Linked DNA regions of Tamandua tetradactyla. The protein of the gene in region 2 interacts with the protein of the main gene of each other region in a biochemical or structural test. Links are inferred from orthologs where the notes say so. Each region holds a gene or a part of one and is shown on either strand. Other genes may lie near its edges.

Region 1 (7,262 bases), on a different chromosome or scaffold from region 2:
CTCTTTGGTCTCTTTTAATACAGGTCATGCCCCATCCTGCCTTCTTTTTTTTTTAGGACAGCAACTTTTATAAGTGCCCAGGCTAATTATCTTGTAGAACATCCCCCACTGAGACCTTGTAGTGCCATTTAACTTATTCCTCTAATCCCTGCATTTCTTATAATTGGAAGGTAGTTATAGAGGAGGGGTTGGCAAACTTTTTCTGTAAAGGCCAGAGACTTAATACTTTTGGCTTTGCAAACCTTATAGTCACATTGCAACTACCTATTGTATCAGTATGTATCAGCATAACGGCAGCAATACCCAATGTGTAAATGGAGCATGACTATGTTCCAATAAAACTTTATTTATGCACACTGAAATCTGAATTCATCATAATTCGAACATGTCACGAAATAGTATTCTTCTTTTGAATTTTTTGCAATGATTTAAAAACGTTAAAGCCGTTCTTAGCTCATGGGTTGTTCAAAAACAGGCAGCCGGATAGATTTAGCCTGTAGTTTGCCAACTCCTGGTCAGAGACTTGATTGGATTTAGGCTAAATATTTATGGCAAGAATTTTCCATGGTAATATTGTGGGCTTCACAGCCATCATATGAGGAGGCACATACTGCCGATTGAGCACCAGCTGTGGGGTATCCACCAGGTCTCTCTATTGAAAAGGAACATTTTCTTCTTTACAAATAGCAAGTCATCTGTGTGGTATTACTTGGGCACTGTGAGAACATTCTGTTCCTTAAAGCCTTTCACCTGTGGTTTCAGCATCATTGACGATTCTTGTCTAAATCAATTATTTCACTGGGTTTGCAGAATTGAGTTTTTCAAATTCTATCTTTGGTAGGAAGCATTCTTCTACAAAGAACCTTCCATTATCAAGGAGGAATGAACCACCATTCCGCCTGAAAAAGGCAGGATAAATGCTTACTTTTCTAAGGGAAGGTTTCTTGTTTTGTTATTTTTGTTTTAAGTGAGAGATTCTAGTCTAGAACATGTTCATATGTTGAGCAGGTAATTCCATGGAGAGGGACAAGTGGATGGTGCAGGAGAGGTGATTACAGAAGGCATGAAGTCTTCAAGAAGGTGAGAGGGTTTAGAATCCAAGTGGAGAAGAAGTTGGGGAACATAAGAAAGGGTGTGAACTGTTCATCTGGGGAGAGATATAGGGACAGCTTACTAAGAGGAGTTCAGTTTAGGCTGTGACTTAATGAACCTGTCTCCCTGGGGTGTGATTTTCTCCTCCACACTGAGAGAAGTTGAATGGCAGGATTCCTGCAGGCCTGGAGTTTTCCAAGCAAGTTCAGTAGAGGCAGGAAGAGACAAGGAAAGACAAAATATTTGCAAAGGAAGACTGTAAAGACTGATGATGGAATCTAAGCTGGTTAAAAATAGGAGAGTGATGGCCTGATGGGAAAATGAATGGAAGATTCCAATGGGCTTGTGAGCTTTGGTTTTTGGTTTTGGTATCAGTTGTCAGATTTCTGTTAAAGGAGCATGTAATTATGGGGAATGATAGGAGACTTTGGCCAGAGAGTAGGGCGTTTGAACAGGCCACTCCTGTAGCCTCTTTGCACTGTATCCACCCATATTCTGTGCAAACAGGGAGCGTCTGAGGCCAAGGAATGAACCATATTCATATCTAAGCTTCCAACGCTCAGAAAAAGGCCTGACCCAGAATAGGTTTGAGTGAAGGTTTGAGGTCTGATCAATTGAATAAATGATAGCAAGCACATATATGTACTGAGCACTAGTCTAACACTTAGTGAATTCTCCCAAGACTCCTATAATGTGGGTTCTACTATTATCTCCATTTTACAGATGAGAAAACTGAGGCACAGAAAGGTGAAATAACTTCTCTAAGTTCACAGAGCTAGCAAGAGGCAGAGTTCACCTACAGCTGGGCAGTCTGGGCCCAGAGTCTATGTTTCTCACCACTAGGTTACTCTGAATGGATGGATGAGGGTCAGAGAATCCTCCTGTCCCTATTTCAAATGGTACAGATGTGTCCGGACGTCAGAGCCCTGATCTGGGCAAGGGAAGTTCAGGGACGGGAGGAGGTGGCCTAACCCCAGGAGACATCAGACAATAAGTAATAAGCAGAAATACATAATTCCAATCGCCATGAAGGAGACAAACAGGGTGCTGAGACCAAGAATGGAGGTGGCAGATCCTTAGATGGAGTCATCAGGGATGGCTTCTCTGAGGAGGTGACACTTTAGATAAAGGACAGAAAGGAGCCGGTATTATGAAGAGCAAGGAGAAGCATGTCTCAGAAAGTGGAAACAGCATGAGAGAAGGTTTTGAAGCTCAATGTAGTCTAGGAACTACACAGTGTAGCTGGAGAGGGAGCTGGCCCAAGGTGGGACTGGAGAGGTGGGCAGAGACCAGACAGAACCTGGGAAGCCGTGGGAAGGAGTTTAAGTTTAATTAAAATAAAAAAAAATTTATTGATATATAGTCACACACCAAATTTAATTATTTTTATCATTGTTTTATTTCATTTTTGTTATTCCAAGACAAATGGGAGATAAGCTATTGGAGGGACTATTTAATATTTGAGCAAGGGACTGAAGGTACATCTTACCTTCAATTATTTGCTCTTTCATTGGGCTTTCATCTGTTCACCCATTAATTCCTTTGTTCCTTGATGGATTCATGCATTCCTATGTCCAGAGAGCCTGCTGCTCTGGGCCAGCCACCGCATGGGCACTGGGGGCGCTGGAAAGAGCCAGACCCAGTCCTTGCCCTTGAGGAAAACACATCCCCACACATCCATTCCCCAAGAACTAGTCATACATACTGGTAGAAGGCACTGAGTGCCCTGTTGGAGAGGGGAACCGGAATCAGGGAAGGCCTCCTGGGGAGGCGCCTGTGAGTTAGACCTTGGAGGATGACAGAAGTAAATGAGAGCAACTGGGGGCTCTCCCAGGAGCAGGGACCAGTGTCTTTCACCGGTGCTCCCTAAGGCTGGCACCTGCCAGGGAATGCTAAATGTTTGTTAACTGAACATGTGGACCAAAGGCCAGCCAGGGAGTGCTGGATGGTGGAGATGATGCTGGCCAGCCAGCGCGAGACCACCCTTCCGAAGCCCCTGCCCCCCCACCCCAACCAGCTCCCTTGTGTCATCTTCCCCATCCCTCCTCCCGTTTCCCTACGAGAAAAGTACACCTACCTGCATCCCACTACTCTCTGCCACTCTGTGAGAACCCATCGCACAGACATCTGAGCCCACCCCCTCTCAGGCTTCTGAACCCTCCCCTGCCCGTACACAGAAACACACGATTCCGAAGAATACGCCCTGCGGTTGGTTCCAAAACTGCATCCATCGTGTTCATTGCCTACAATTGTACACACACGCATGCACATGCATATGCACATATACACGCTTCTGTGTTTACACACCCTCCCTTCCTTCCCACTGCATCCCAACACGTGCACACTTCTCCATCAAACAACCCTCCTCCCCATACATCTTCCTCCCCACCGGAAGAATTTTTTTCTAGGCCTTAGTTTAAGACTAAGGAAGTAACAGCTGTGGGAAGGGGAATTGACCCCCAAGTTGAGGAGGGGTCAGCGATCCCTACCAGCCTCAAAGGCTGATAGAAGATGGTCTCTGTTTCTCTAAGACTTGGGCAAGGGGAGGGCTGACACCCTTCCTCCTTCATTGTGACCCGAAGGCAAATTTTCTCTGAAATGTAGTTTCCCCAGGGAAGGTTCTTGGTCTACTCCCCAACCTCCCGCATCCCTGTGCCCCAGTGCCCAGGGCCCTGAAGGAGGCAAGGCAGGTGATGGACTCACAATGGCTCTTACATTTCCAGGTCAACTGGCTGTGAAAGTTTGGGTCAGACCTGTCTCCATCTGGGCCTCAATGGACAGAGAGGGCAGTGGGTTCAGTGATAGAGAAAAGTGCTTTCTAACCTCAAATCTAATGATTCTAAGAAAGCAGGTGCCTTGCGGGGGGGGGGGGGGGGGGGAGGGGTTCTTTGGGAAGGTGGTACTGGGGGCTTAGGCGGGGTGTGGGGTGGGGGACAGGGCTGGGGTGCTGGGAGAGGGCTGGGAGGGCCGATCCCTGGTCACCCCGGGGAGGTGGGAAGTGGGGCCGGGCGAGCCTAGGATCTGAGGGCCCCTTCCCCCCCCCCCCCCCCCCCCCCGCGCGGGCAGCTGGTTCGAGGCCGGGGCGTGACTGAGAGCTGTCCCCGCCGCCGCCGCCACCGCTGCGAGAAGAGAAGTCCGAAGCGGCTTCCTCCTCCCAGCCAGAGCCCGCGGCCGGCAGAGGCAAGCAGGACCCGGGTTCCGCCCCCGCGTCGGCCTCGCTGCGGCCGGGAGCCCCGCTGGATCGCCCCGGGGACGGGCACAGGTAGGCAGGTGGGGGGCTGGGAGGCGCAGCGCCGTGCCCCGCCCCCGGCCCGGCCCGGCCCGGCGACAGGGGCCTGGGGGAGCGAGCCTGGGAGCCTTAGGGTGGACAGCTGAAGAGACTTGGACCAAGAGGCTCCCGCTCAGAGAAGGGTCTGGGAAGAACTCAGGAGACCTGGAGAGTGAGACTGGATGCAAGTTGTGGAGGGGAACAGGGGAGGATTAAGAGGGTTCCCCAAAAAGGTCTGCTGGGGAAAGGGAAGGGGACCTGTGGAGTAAGTTTGATCGAAATTGGAAAAAGGGCTAAGAGAGTCGGGGCATGGGGAGTAAGGGGACCTCCCCAAAAATGGTCTGGAGGAGAACTGAAGGGACCTTGAGAGTGAGAATTTGTGGGGAAACTGAGGAGTCTAGGGAAGGGGAGCTAGGCGGGGGGACTGGAAGGGTCAGGTGAGGCAGTTTGCAGGAAAGAAGGGTCAAGGAGAACCATTTCTGGGGGACTCAGAATGTATGACGCAATTGTGGGGGCCCAGGAGATCCCCGATCGCCAACTGACAGAAGCCCGGGGTGAAGCCTGTGGCTTGGGGGGGGGTGGGGGGGCAGGCGGCCAGGAACGAAGCTCCCCCTCCCCCTAGACTCTCCCTCCCCGCCGGGTGGGAGGACCCGGGCCAGCGAGGAGACGCCTCTAGGCTCTAGAGGCGCGGGTCCCCTCTTCCTGGGGAAGTCCCCGCCCTCGGCAAGTCAGGCCTCTCTGGGTACCCGCCCCCCCGCAGTGGCGGGCTCTGTCCGCGTTCCCCTCGGGATCCGGGAATTGCTGGCCGCCCCGACGGAAATCCTGCCTTTGACCGTGATTGCCCGGAGGGGCTGTCTCCATGGCAACGCCAGGGAGGAGAGGCAGAGCCGGGCTCTTGGCAAATGCTGGTCTCCTTACTGGAGCAGCCCCTTCTGTCCTCATCACCTCCTGACTTCTGGGACCCCAGGCAGGGGCCGTTCGCCGGACAGAGGAGTGAGGCCCTGATGCACATCGTTCAGGGATCCTTCAGGGAAAACCTGCAGAGACCTGGGTTCTTAGCTAGTCTGGGCCTTTCTTTCATTGCTGTGTGACTTTGGGCAAGTTACCGGGCTCCTCTGGGCCTCACTTTCTGCATTTGAACAGTGGGGAGAAATGATCTCTGCCCCTATCCCCTATACCTGAATCTGTGTGAATCGGGTACAGAAATCAGTTTGGCTGAGTGTCCTGGGGAGCTTACAGGCCCTCGCTGACCCAGCTAGCCTCTCCTGCGCCTTCTCGACGGCACAGAGGGGGCCAGGAAGCCTGGGTCTCACTGATAGGGCCCCCAGGCACCAGCACACAGTTAGTATCTTATAAATAAGTAAGTGTCTGTGCATGTGTGGAGGGCCCACCGTGCGGAGTCACTGGGGGTGAGATCTGCCCCCACACCCAGCCAGCCTTCCCCTGGGTCATGGAGTCTCTCAGGGATCCCGAGGCCCTTGGCATCCTTCAGTCTGGTGGTGGGTGGGAGAGCAAGGCCCTGTTCCAACTTCACAGATGGGAAGATGGAAATTTGGGAGGCAGCGAACGACAGGGCCAGCCATTGGGAGTGGACTCCAGGGCCTCTTTCGCTTGTGACAAAGGGGTTCCCACCTAATCCCTGCCAAGTCCCATGTAGCCCTCTGGAGAGGGGTAGGGGTGGACACGGGAGTGGGCGCAGGGGGCTGTGTGTATCGGTGCTCTCTCCTGCTTTCCAGGGGGCGAGAAGCTGTGAGTGAGGGCGTGAGGGTGTGAGGGTGTGAATTTGATTCGGGCTCTGAGCAAATGAGCATGAGCATGTGAGTGAGCCCGTGTGGGTGTTTAGGAGTTCTCAGCAGCCACCTGGGGCCAATGAGGCAAAGGAAGTGGTCAGACCCTGGGGGGTGGGCTGAGCAGGAGACCCCAGAGTTGGGGAAGGAGGTGCCAGGGTCCTTCCTGAACAGAGCGGACAGGGAAGGGTGCCCCCCCCCCCCCCCAGGACTCGCAAGGGGACTTCCTTTCTGGCCACAATGTGGAATCTAAACTCTCATCTCCTCAGCTTCCCCAGAACATCCATGGGCTCCCATCTCCTGTGAATTCTGAGTCCCAGGCCAGGTGGGAGCTGAACTCAGACTCCTGTTTTAGAGGCTGGTGGGTTTTCAGAGACAGATGGGAAACCACTTTTACTCCCAAGTAGAGAAAACTCAGCTGGTACCTTCAGGACCATGTGGAGGAAAAAGCTGGTGTGGCACGTATCTGCCACCCCCACTCCCCACCCCCATCACATGCACCTGGCCCCACTAGGGTAGTAAAGTCAGAGTAGGGCCTTTCTGCTAGGGCCCGTGAGTGTTTGGGGTGGGGTGCCGGTGGGGGTGGGTGCTGTGAGGCCTCCAGAAAAGATAGTGTTCAATAAGAGGGATGGAGGTTCAGTGAGAGGTGGCGACCTTAATAAGAGGGATAAGGGCTCAGAAAGGGCCTGGGGTTCAGTGAGGAGTGGTGAGAGAACCCTTCCTTCATCAGGTCAGGTCTTAGTGAGGGGTGGGGCACAGAGGGGCTGGGGGTGGCCTGCAGATCTTAGAATTGCTTCCTGCCCCTCCAACCCTGGCCTGCCTCCTGCCCAGCCCAGAACCCTGAGGAGAAGCCGGAACTCTTGCAGGATGGTGGTTTCCTGCCACTGCCCCAAGTCCCAGTTCCCTTTTGGTGAAATCCCCCAGGCAGCTAAGCCAACTCAGCCCTCCCCACTGCACCCTGGGAACTTCTCTTTCTTCTCAGCCCGGCCCCACAGGCCATCCCCTCCACCCTGCCTTGGAGGGGTCTTGTTTAGGGAAAGGAAGGGAAGTAAAAGTTCATTGAGCACCTATGTGGGGCCTGGTACTTTCAGAGGCTTGGCTGCACTTCATGCTCA
Region 2 (6,933 bases):
CGATGACATTGGAGTCTGAGAAGCCAGGGAGGCGCTGGTCCTTGCAGATGACCCCGGCGTCCTCATCGTGGGTACAGTCACTGTTCCCCCAGCCCCGGGAGGCACATTCAGTCACACTCTGCTCTGTCCCTCTGCAATTTAGGTTGTCCAGCCAGATGCGGCCTGTAGTAGGGGAGATGAAGGGACTGAGAGAGGCTGAGGGAGATAGCAGGGGGGAGGGGTGGGGGTATTAGAAATACTGAGCCTGGGGGTTTCCCACCTGGCTGTGAAGATCCTATTTTTCTTTGAAGATGATGGGGTGGGGGGGGAGGGACAGGGAACCCTGCAACGAAATAGGCAAGGGGCACGCAGTTGCCAGAGAGTTGGTGGTGATCTGGGCCTACTCAAGAAATTAGTAGGGTGAATAAAAAACTGAGTCAACAGTGAAGTTCAGATCAGTCCTTACCAGGTCAATGATGACTACAATTAATCAAGTACCCAGTGAGTGTCAGACACTGCTAGGTTCTGTACATATATGATCACTCTAGGAACCGTGTTGCCAGGAAGACACCATCATCATTTTATATAAGGAAATGGAGGTTTAGACAAGTTAGGTAACTTGCTTAAGACCAACCACACAGCCAGTAGATGGGGGCAGGTGTTTGAGCCCAGTCTGTGAGGCTTGGAGATCTAAGATCCTTTTACTGGAGCCACACATCCTCCCACGTGCCTCCCTGCCTGTGCCACTATGCTGCCCCTTGTTCTTCTCAGGCTGGACCCCGCACTGAACAGCACTGATTTCCTCTCAGAATTGGACAGGACATCAAAGGTCGTCCGTCCCAGCCGGTGTGCAGAGACCCCTACGCACCCACTGATAGAGCTTGCTCAGCTTCTGCTGGATACCCTCCTCCCGCCCCACCTGGCTGCTACCCCCATCAGAGACTTCCTGGGACTGTTGATGACTCCCCCACTAGGTCTCAGTCCTTTGATGCCATCCAGAAAAATCGCTCAGTCACATCACTGCCCTGTTCAACTGAAGACAACCGTCTTGTAATTGTCATTGAAGGCTTTTTCTTTCCAGACCAAATGTCCCTGGTTTCTTCAGCTATTCCTCCTTAAAACTTGGCTGCCAAAAAAGTTATTTCCATTTTCTAGTGTCTCTCTTAAAATGTGGCACTCACAAGTAGACATTTTATTCCCGAAGTGGTCTAGCCAGTGGGTACTGGGGCATTGGCTGCTGGTTGCATTAGCTTCTGCCTATCAATCCCAGTGGGCCCAGACAGTCCAGGTATTCCCAGGTCTCACTCAAATTGCTCTTAACCCCCCTCCCCATACCTGTCTTAAGCCTCATGTTTGTCCTTATTCGGTTCCAATTTGTTGGTTTCAGCTCTGGCTTGTAACCTGATTTTGTAGCTGCAGTATGTATTTGTGATCCCTTCTGGCTTTGGGACATCCAGACATCATTTGCCGGCTTTCACCTTCCCACGGAACCAGCTGTACTGAAATACAGGGCTACCTGTATCTGGGCTTCCATGGCATGTGGCTTTGTAGACTCACACACTTTTGTGGCAGAAAGGAACTTAGAGATCATTTAGTCACTTTGCAACTGGGACATTTGAGGCTCAGAGAAAGCAACTGACAACCTAAAGTCACATGAACCTGGGAAGTGACTGTGTTGGCTTGTCATCCATAGGTTTTCTTGACATTGGGTGTTTTTGGTTCCCTGTGTCCCTCTCTGTGACTGTGCTATCTGATACTCCCTCTCCCTGCATTTAGGCCACTGGAAGCATTGCTCACCTGTTCCAGGGCCATATTTGGCACTGTGGGTCCAGCCTGTGGCCTCCGTGAAGCCCAGCTCCCGGCAGAGGATGTGGGCAGCCTGCAGTGTGAAGTCGTCATCACAGATGGTGCCCCACTCGCCGGCACGCTGTATTTCCACACGGCCCTCGTAGGGCTTCCTGGGGAAGCCAGCCAGCCGGAACCGTAGCCCCTCACTTCCGTCTCGTTTCTCGGGACCCATGGATGGGGAGGGAGACCCCAGACACGAGCAGCACAGCAGGCACAGCAGCAGACCCCATGAGCTCCACTGCCAGATGCTGACAGGTTGCATGGCAGAGAAGGCCTGCGTGCCCCAGAAAAAGAGAGAGAGAGAGAGGGAGGAAGAGAAACAGAGACTGAGCGAGGCCCAGAGTCAAAGATAGATGTCGTGAAAGAAAAACAGACCCTGAATAAGACCAAAGAGGGAGACAGAGAAACCGTGGTGAGAGAGGCTCAGGGACTGTGGGAGACAGTAAGAGGGACACACTCTAAATAAAAGCAGAGACACAGTCAAAGAGGAGTGACTAGGAGACTCAGATGGAGGGAGAGGGGAAGAGGGAGCAAACAGCTGCCCCCCCCACCCCGTGTAAATAATAAATCTTCACAATCAGTTGTAACGCTCCACTGTGCCTTTCCCTAGTTCTGCCATCATCACCTCCATTGCTCCCACCCCCCAGTTTGAGAGACCCAGAGGTCAAAAGAGTGATTGTTTTTTTAGAGACCAAGGGTCAGGGACAGGTCAAGATAAAGAGACGGAGTCTGAGCAAGAGACCCAGAGAGAGGAAGACCCAGACAGACAGGATGTGAGATGAAGGGAAACTGTGGGAATGCAAGGGAGACAAACAGAAAGAGGCAGCGGAAGAGAGAGACAGTGAAGACAGAAAGAATGTGACAGGGAGAGAGCTAGGCACACGGAGTTAGGGAGAAATAGGGAAAGGTACAGGCAGCTGTTAAGGGGGGAGCCAAAGAGCAGATGTGGGAGGAACCCAGATGACCCTATTCCGTCAGTCACACAGACTGACAGCCCTATTGATTGTGGAGAGAGGCAGGCCACTGGGGCCCAAGAGACCCTCTGGTCTCAGATCCCTTGAATGGCAGCGGAGCAGAGTCCCATCTGGGGAAGATGTGGTTGCAGGGAGGGCAGAGACCAGACCATCCAGGGAACTTCTGCACCTCTGCCCAGGCTCATGGGCTCTCAGATGTCCCATCAGGTCAGGGGGCCCAGGAGGGCCAGGCCTCACGCAGGGCAGAGATGGGGTGGGGTGGTCGGAGCCTCCAGCCAACACAACCTCCGGCCAACACCGCCTTCTCTGTCACCCGGCAACCAGAGGCCAGGGCGCGGATTTGCACGGCAGCCAAGGCCCTCTCTCCGTCTGGGGCCGTGAACAGACCCTCCACAGCCAGGGGGCCCCCAGAGCATGCTTCCCCCAACCCAGACAAACAACCCAACAAGACAGCTTTGTTCTGGGGACTTTGGCCAGGGGTAAGGCCTCACAGAGGAGCCCCCCAGCCTTAGAGCCCTCTCAGCTGCCTTATTTGGAACCCCTGCCCCCCACCATCTGCTTCTTCTCTCCACTTTTCTTGTATCTCCCCTTTGATAATAATAAAACCCTCCGTTGGTTGGCTTGTCCTTGACTCCAACCCACGCCACTCCTCTTCCCTGGTCCCTTCACCATCCTCTCCATCCTCAACTCCTCTTCCTTCAGCGGACAGCTTAACACCCCCTACCTTTGGCTGAGCGGGGCCTTAGGGGCTGGATGAAGAGTCCCGGTCCCGGGGTTCTGTCTTAAGACTTCCAAAAAAAAAAGTGCTCGGCCAGGGGAGGCCCCCCCCTCTCCGCTAGTCCCGCCCATGTCCCCTGGAGCCCGCCTACATTCCACCCTCTCCCGGGGTTCCTCCCTCGCTGGCCCCGCCTCGGCTTCCCTCGGCTCTCCCCTCCCCGCGGGACTGGCCGACGCCGCGCCCCAGCCCCAGCCTCCCGGTCGGCTCAAAGAAGCTTTCTTTACTCGCCGGTTGGACGCCGGGTAGCTGCGGTCAGGGATCTGGACACGCAAGCGGCCACGGGGCCACCGACAGCCCCCGGCAGCAGCCCGGTGGCGACGGGAGGCCCGGCTCGGCTCGGGGCTGTGGCTCGAAGCCTTCCAGCCCCGGCCCTGCCCCTCCGCCCCCAGCCCCGGCTCGGCCGAGCGTAAACAGCTCAGCTCGGGCCGGGTTAGGGTCGGGCCGGGGCAGGGAAACTGAGACCGGGAGGATGCCCGTGGCCCCTCCTGTGCCCCAGGGTGCCGGCGGCCACTTTCGGGGTGATGTCACGCCATCACTCTGATGTCATGAGGGGATCATAACGTCACACGCAGCTCCTACGCTCAGCCCGAGACCGCAAAATTTCTCATGGTAGAGCTACTTGTCCCCCACCCACCCAGGGCTATGGGTTGGGGCCCGGAAGTAGGGCGGCCGCCGGGTGTTTCTGGGGATCCCGTTTCCCGCTCGCTTCTCGCCCCCCTCCCCACGCGTGGTCCGCCCCGGGCGAGTCCGGCCCCGCCTCTTCCCCGCCTCCAGCCGGCGGGGCCAGGAAGCGCGGAAGGAACCGCCGGGGGCCATGGACGAGGCGGTGATGGAAGGGCCTCTGTTTTTGCAGAGTCAGCGTTTCGGGACCAAGGTAGTAGGGGCTGGGGACGCTAAACCCCAGCAGGGCTAGAGGTGGGCGAGAGGGCCCAGAAGGAGGGAGGGGTGGGCAGCGGGTTGGAGTGCGGCGCGGGGACCCGGAGAGTCCCGCGACGTTCCTCCGAAGTTGCTTTGCACACTCGGGAGAAGCGTCTGCGGGTCTCGGGCTACGCTTTCCCTCTTCCTGGGGAGCCGGAATGGCGATCTCCTAGGGAAACTTCTTGCCCAGTCGGGAAGCCCCAGAGCTGAGCCAGTGCCTCCTCTCCCGTTCGGCCAGCGGCCGCTCGAGATAAGCAGCGCACTCCTCAGAGTCTCGCGCTTTCTCCGCAGAGGTGGAAAAAGACCTGGGCCGTGCTCTACCCGGCCAGCCCCCACGGCGTAGCCCGGCTCGAGTTCTTTGACCACAAGGGGTCGGGCTCTGGAGGTGGCCGGGGGGGCTCGCGCCGCTTGGACTGCAAGGTAATCCGTCTGGCGGAGTGTGTGAGCGTGGCCCCCGTGGCTGTGGAGAGCCCCCCTGAGCCCGGCGCCGCCGCCTTCCGCCTGGACACCGCGCAGCGCTCCCACCTGCTGGCAGCTGACGCGCCGTCCAGCGCCGCCTGGGTGCAGACACTGTGCCGAAACGCCTTTCCGGTGAGGGGTTCCGGGGAGTGGGAAGGGGTCTGGGGCGAATGGCCCTGGGCCCAAGGGACGATGTGAGGCGGGGGGCAGGATGAGGGTCACGGCAGCAGAGGTCTCAGCTGGCTCAGACCCCGGGAGCCACGCTAGGGAGAGTCCTGGACACTCTTTCTTTACACAGAAAGGCAGCTGGGCTCCGACGCCTGCAGAAAATCTACCCAAGCTTTCTGCCTTGGAGATGCTGGAGAACTCTCTGTATAGCTCCTCCTGGGAAGGTAGAGGCTTGAGAAGCAAAAATGGGATCGCGAGAAGGGGTGACTTTGGAAAGGGGTTATTAGAGGGTTCCCGGACCCAGGGGGAAGGGGGAGAGCCCCGGAAGTCTGACTTGGAGTGAGTGCTTGGGCACTGTGCTCCCCAATACTTTCTGGTCTCTACACTCCCTGCACCAGCCCCCCAACCCCCAGTTCTGACCAGGTGCCCCTTGAATCTAATGGCTCTTCCTTTCAGGATCCCAGTTCTGGGTGACTGTGCAGAGGACTGAGGCTGCAGAGCGCTGTGGCCTGCACGGCTCCTATGTGCTGAGGGCTGAGGCTGAGAAGCTGACTCTCTTGACCCTGAGGTCTGGGAGCCAGAGCCTGGAGCCGCTCCTTTCCTGGCCTTACACTCTGCTCCGTCGCTATGGTCGAGACAAGGTGGGGGCGGGGAGGGGGCTATGGGGAAGGGCTTCTGGGGTTCCCCAGCTGAGGATGGGATGGGGCAGGACTGGAAGGAGGGAAACTCTGCCCCTTGGGCTCCTCCTACCTGGCCTACCCCTTGAGTCCACTCCCTCCCCAGGTAGTCTCTTTGATTCTCTAGCTACTTCAGGCCCTGAGACTCTGATGATGTGCTTCTCTCCATACCCTCTTCAGGTTATGTTCTCTTTTGAGGCCGGCCGCCGCTGCCCCTCTGGCCCTGGAACCTTCACCTTCCAGACGGCACAGGGAAATGACATTTTTCAGGCAGTTGAGACCGCCATCCATCAGCAGAAGGCCCAGGGAAGGGCTGGCCAGGGGCACGATGTTCTGAGTACTGATTCCCATGAAGGAGAGGGGACAGGGGGGCAGCTGGCTTCCCCTCCTGGTCCCAAGGAGCTCCTGGGAGGCCCCCCAGCCCTGTACGCTGAGCCCATGGACTCCCTGCGCATTCCTCCAGGCCCTTCCCGGGACTCCTTATACTCAGACCCCCTGGACAGCACCCTTGCTTGTGCTAGGGAGGGGGTACAGCTGAAGAAACCTACCCTCTACTGGGACTTGTACGAGCATGCGCAGCAGCAGTTGCTGAAGGCCAAGCTGAGGGACCCCAGAGAGGACCCCATCTATGATGAACCTGAGGGCCTGGCCCCAGCTCCTCCCCGGGGCCTTTATGACCTGCCGCAGGAGCCCAAGGATGCCTGGTGGTGCCAGGCTCGGGTGAAGGAGGAGGGCTATGAACTCCCTTACAACCCTGCCACTGACGACTATGCTGTGCCACCCCCTCGGAGCACCAAGCCCCTCCCAGCTCCCAAGTCCCAGCGCCCAGCCTTCCCTGAACTTGGTACTGAATTGGATAGTGGCACTACAGGCCACAGTTCAGACACTGCCCTGTATAGCAAGGTCCAGAAGAGTGGAGCCTCAGGGAGCTGGGACTGTGGGCTCTCTAGAGCAGGGAGCCACAGGACTGGGCTCAAGTCAGAGGGCTCCATATGAGAAGAAAGGCAATGCTGGGGAGTTGATAGGAAGACTATAGCAATCAAGAAACCAGTAGAAACTAGGGGCCTGATAGACCTGTGTTAGACCTGAAGGGTCAGGGTAGTGGGAAGGATCCCAAGAAGTCCTAAGAAGT

What was found. The genes of interacting proteins can lie anywhere in the genome.
Region 1: the proteins of DOK1 (region 2) and FGR form a complex in vitro, tested with the Homo sapiens proteins (2 studies listed by BioGRID, with this or other methods). The link is inferred for Tamandua tetradactyla from reciprocal best matches to the Homo sapiens genes DOK1 and FGR.

Annotation. Positions count from the first base shown.
Region 1 is NC_135328.1:198,649,099-198,656,360, forward strand, and holds the start of FGR (tyrosine-protein kinase Fgr), read left to right. Parts: upstream 1-4,174; 5' UTR 4,175-4,354; intron 4,355-4,435; exon of another isoform or gene 4,436-4,532; intron 4,533-7,262. UniProt on the Homo sapiens protein: Non-receptor tyrosine-protein kinase that transmits signals from cell surface receptors devoid of kinase activity and contributes to the regulation of immune responses, including neutrophil, monocyte, macrophage and mast cell functions, cytoskeleton remodeling in response to extracellular stimuli, phagocytosis, cell adhesion and migration.
Region 2 is NC_135343.1:48,440,566-48,447,498, forward strand, and holds the start of DOK1 (docking protein 1), read left to right. Parts: upstream 1-3,925; 5' UTR 3,926-4,393; coding exon 4,394-4,453; intron 4,454-4,788; coding exon 4,789-5,088; intron 5,089-5,254; coding exon 5,255-5,348; intron 5,349-5,580; coding exon 5,581-5,765; intron 5,766-5,981; coding exon 5,982-6,797; 3' UTR 6,798-6,933. Other genes in the region: LOXL3 (lysyl oxidase homolog 3), read right to left, coding at 1-162, 1,777-2,089. UniProt on the Homo sapiens protein: DOK proteins are enzymatically inert adaptor or scaffolding proteins. They provide a docking platform for the assembly of multimolecular signaling complexes. DOK1 appears to be a negative regulator of the insulin signaling pathway.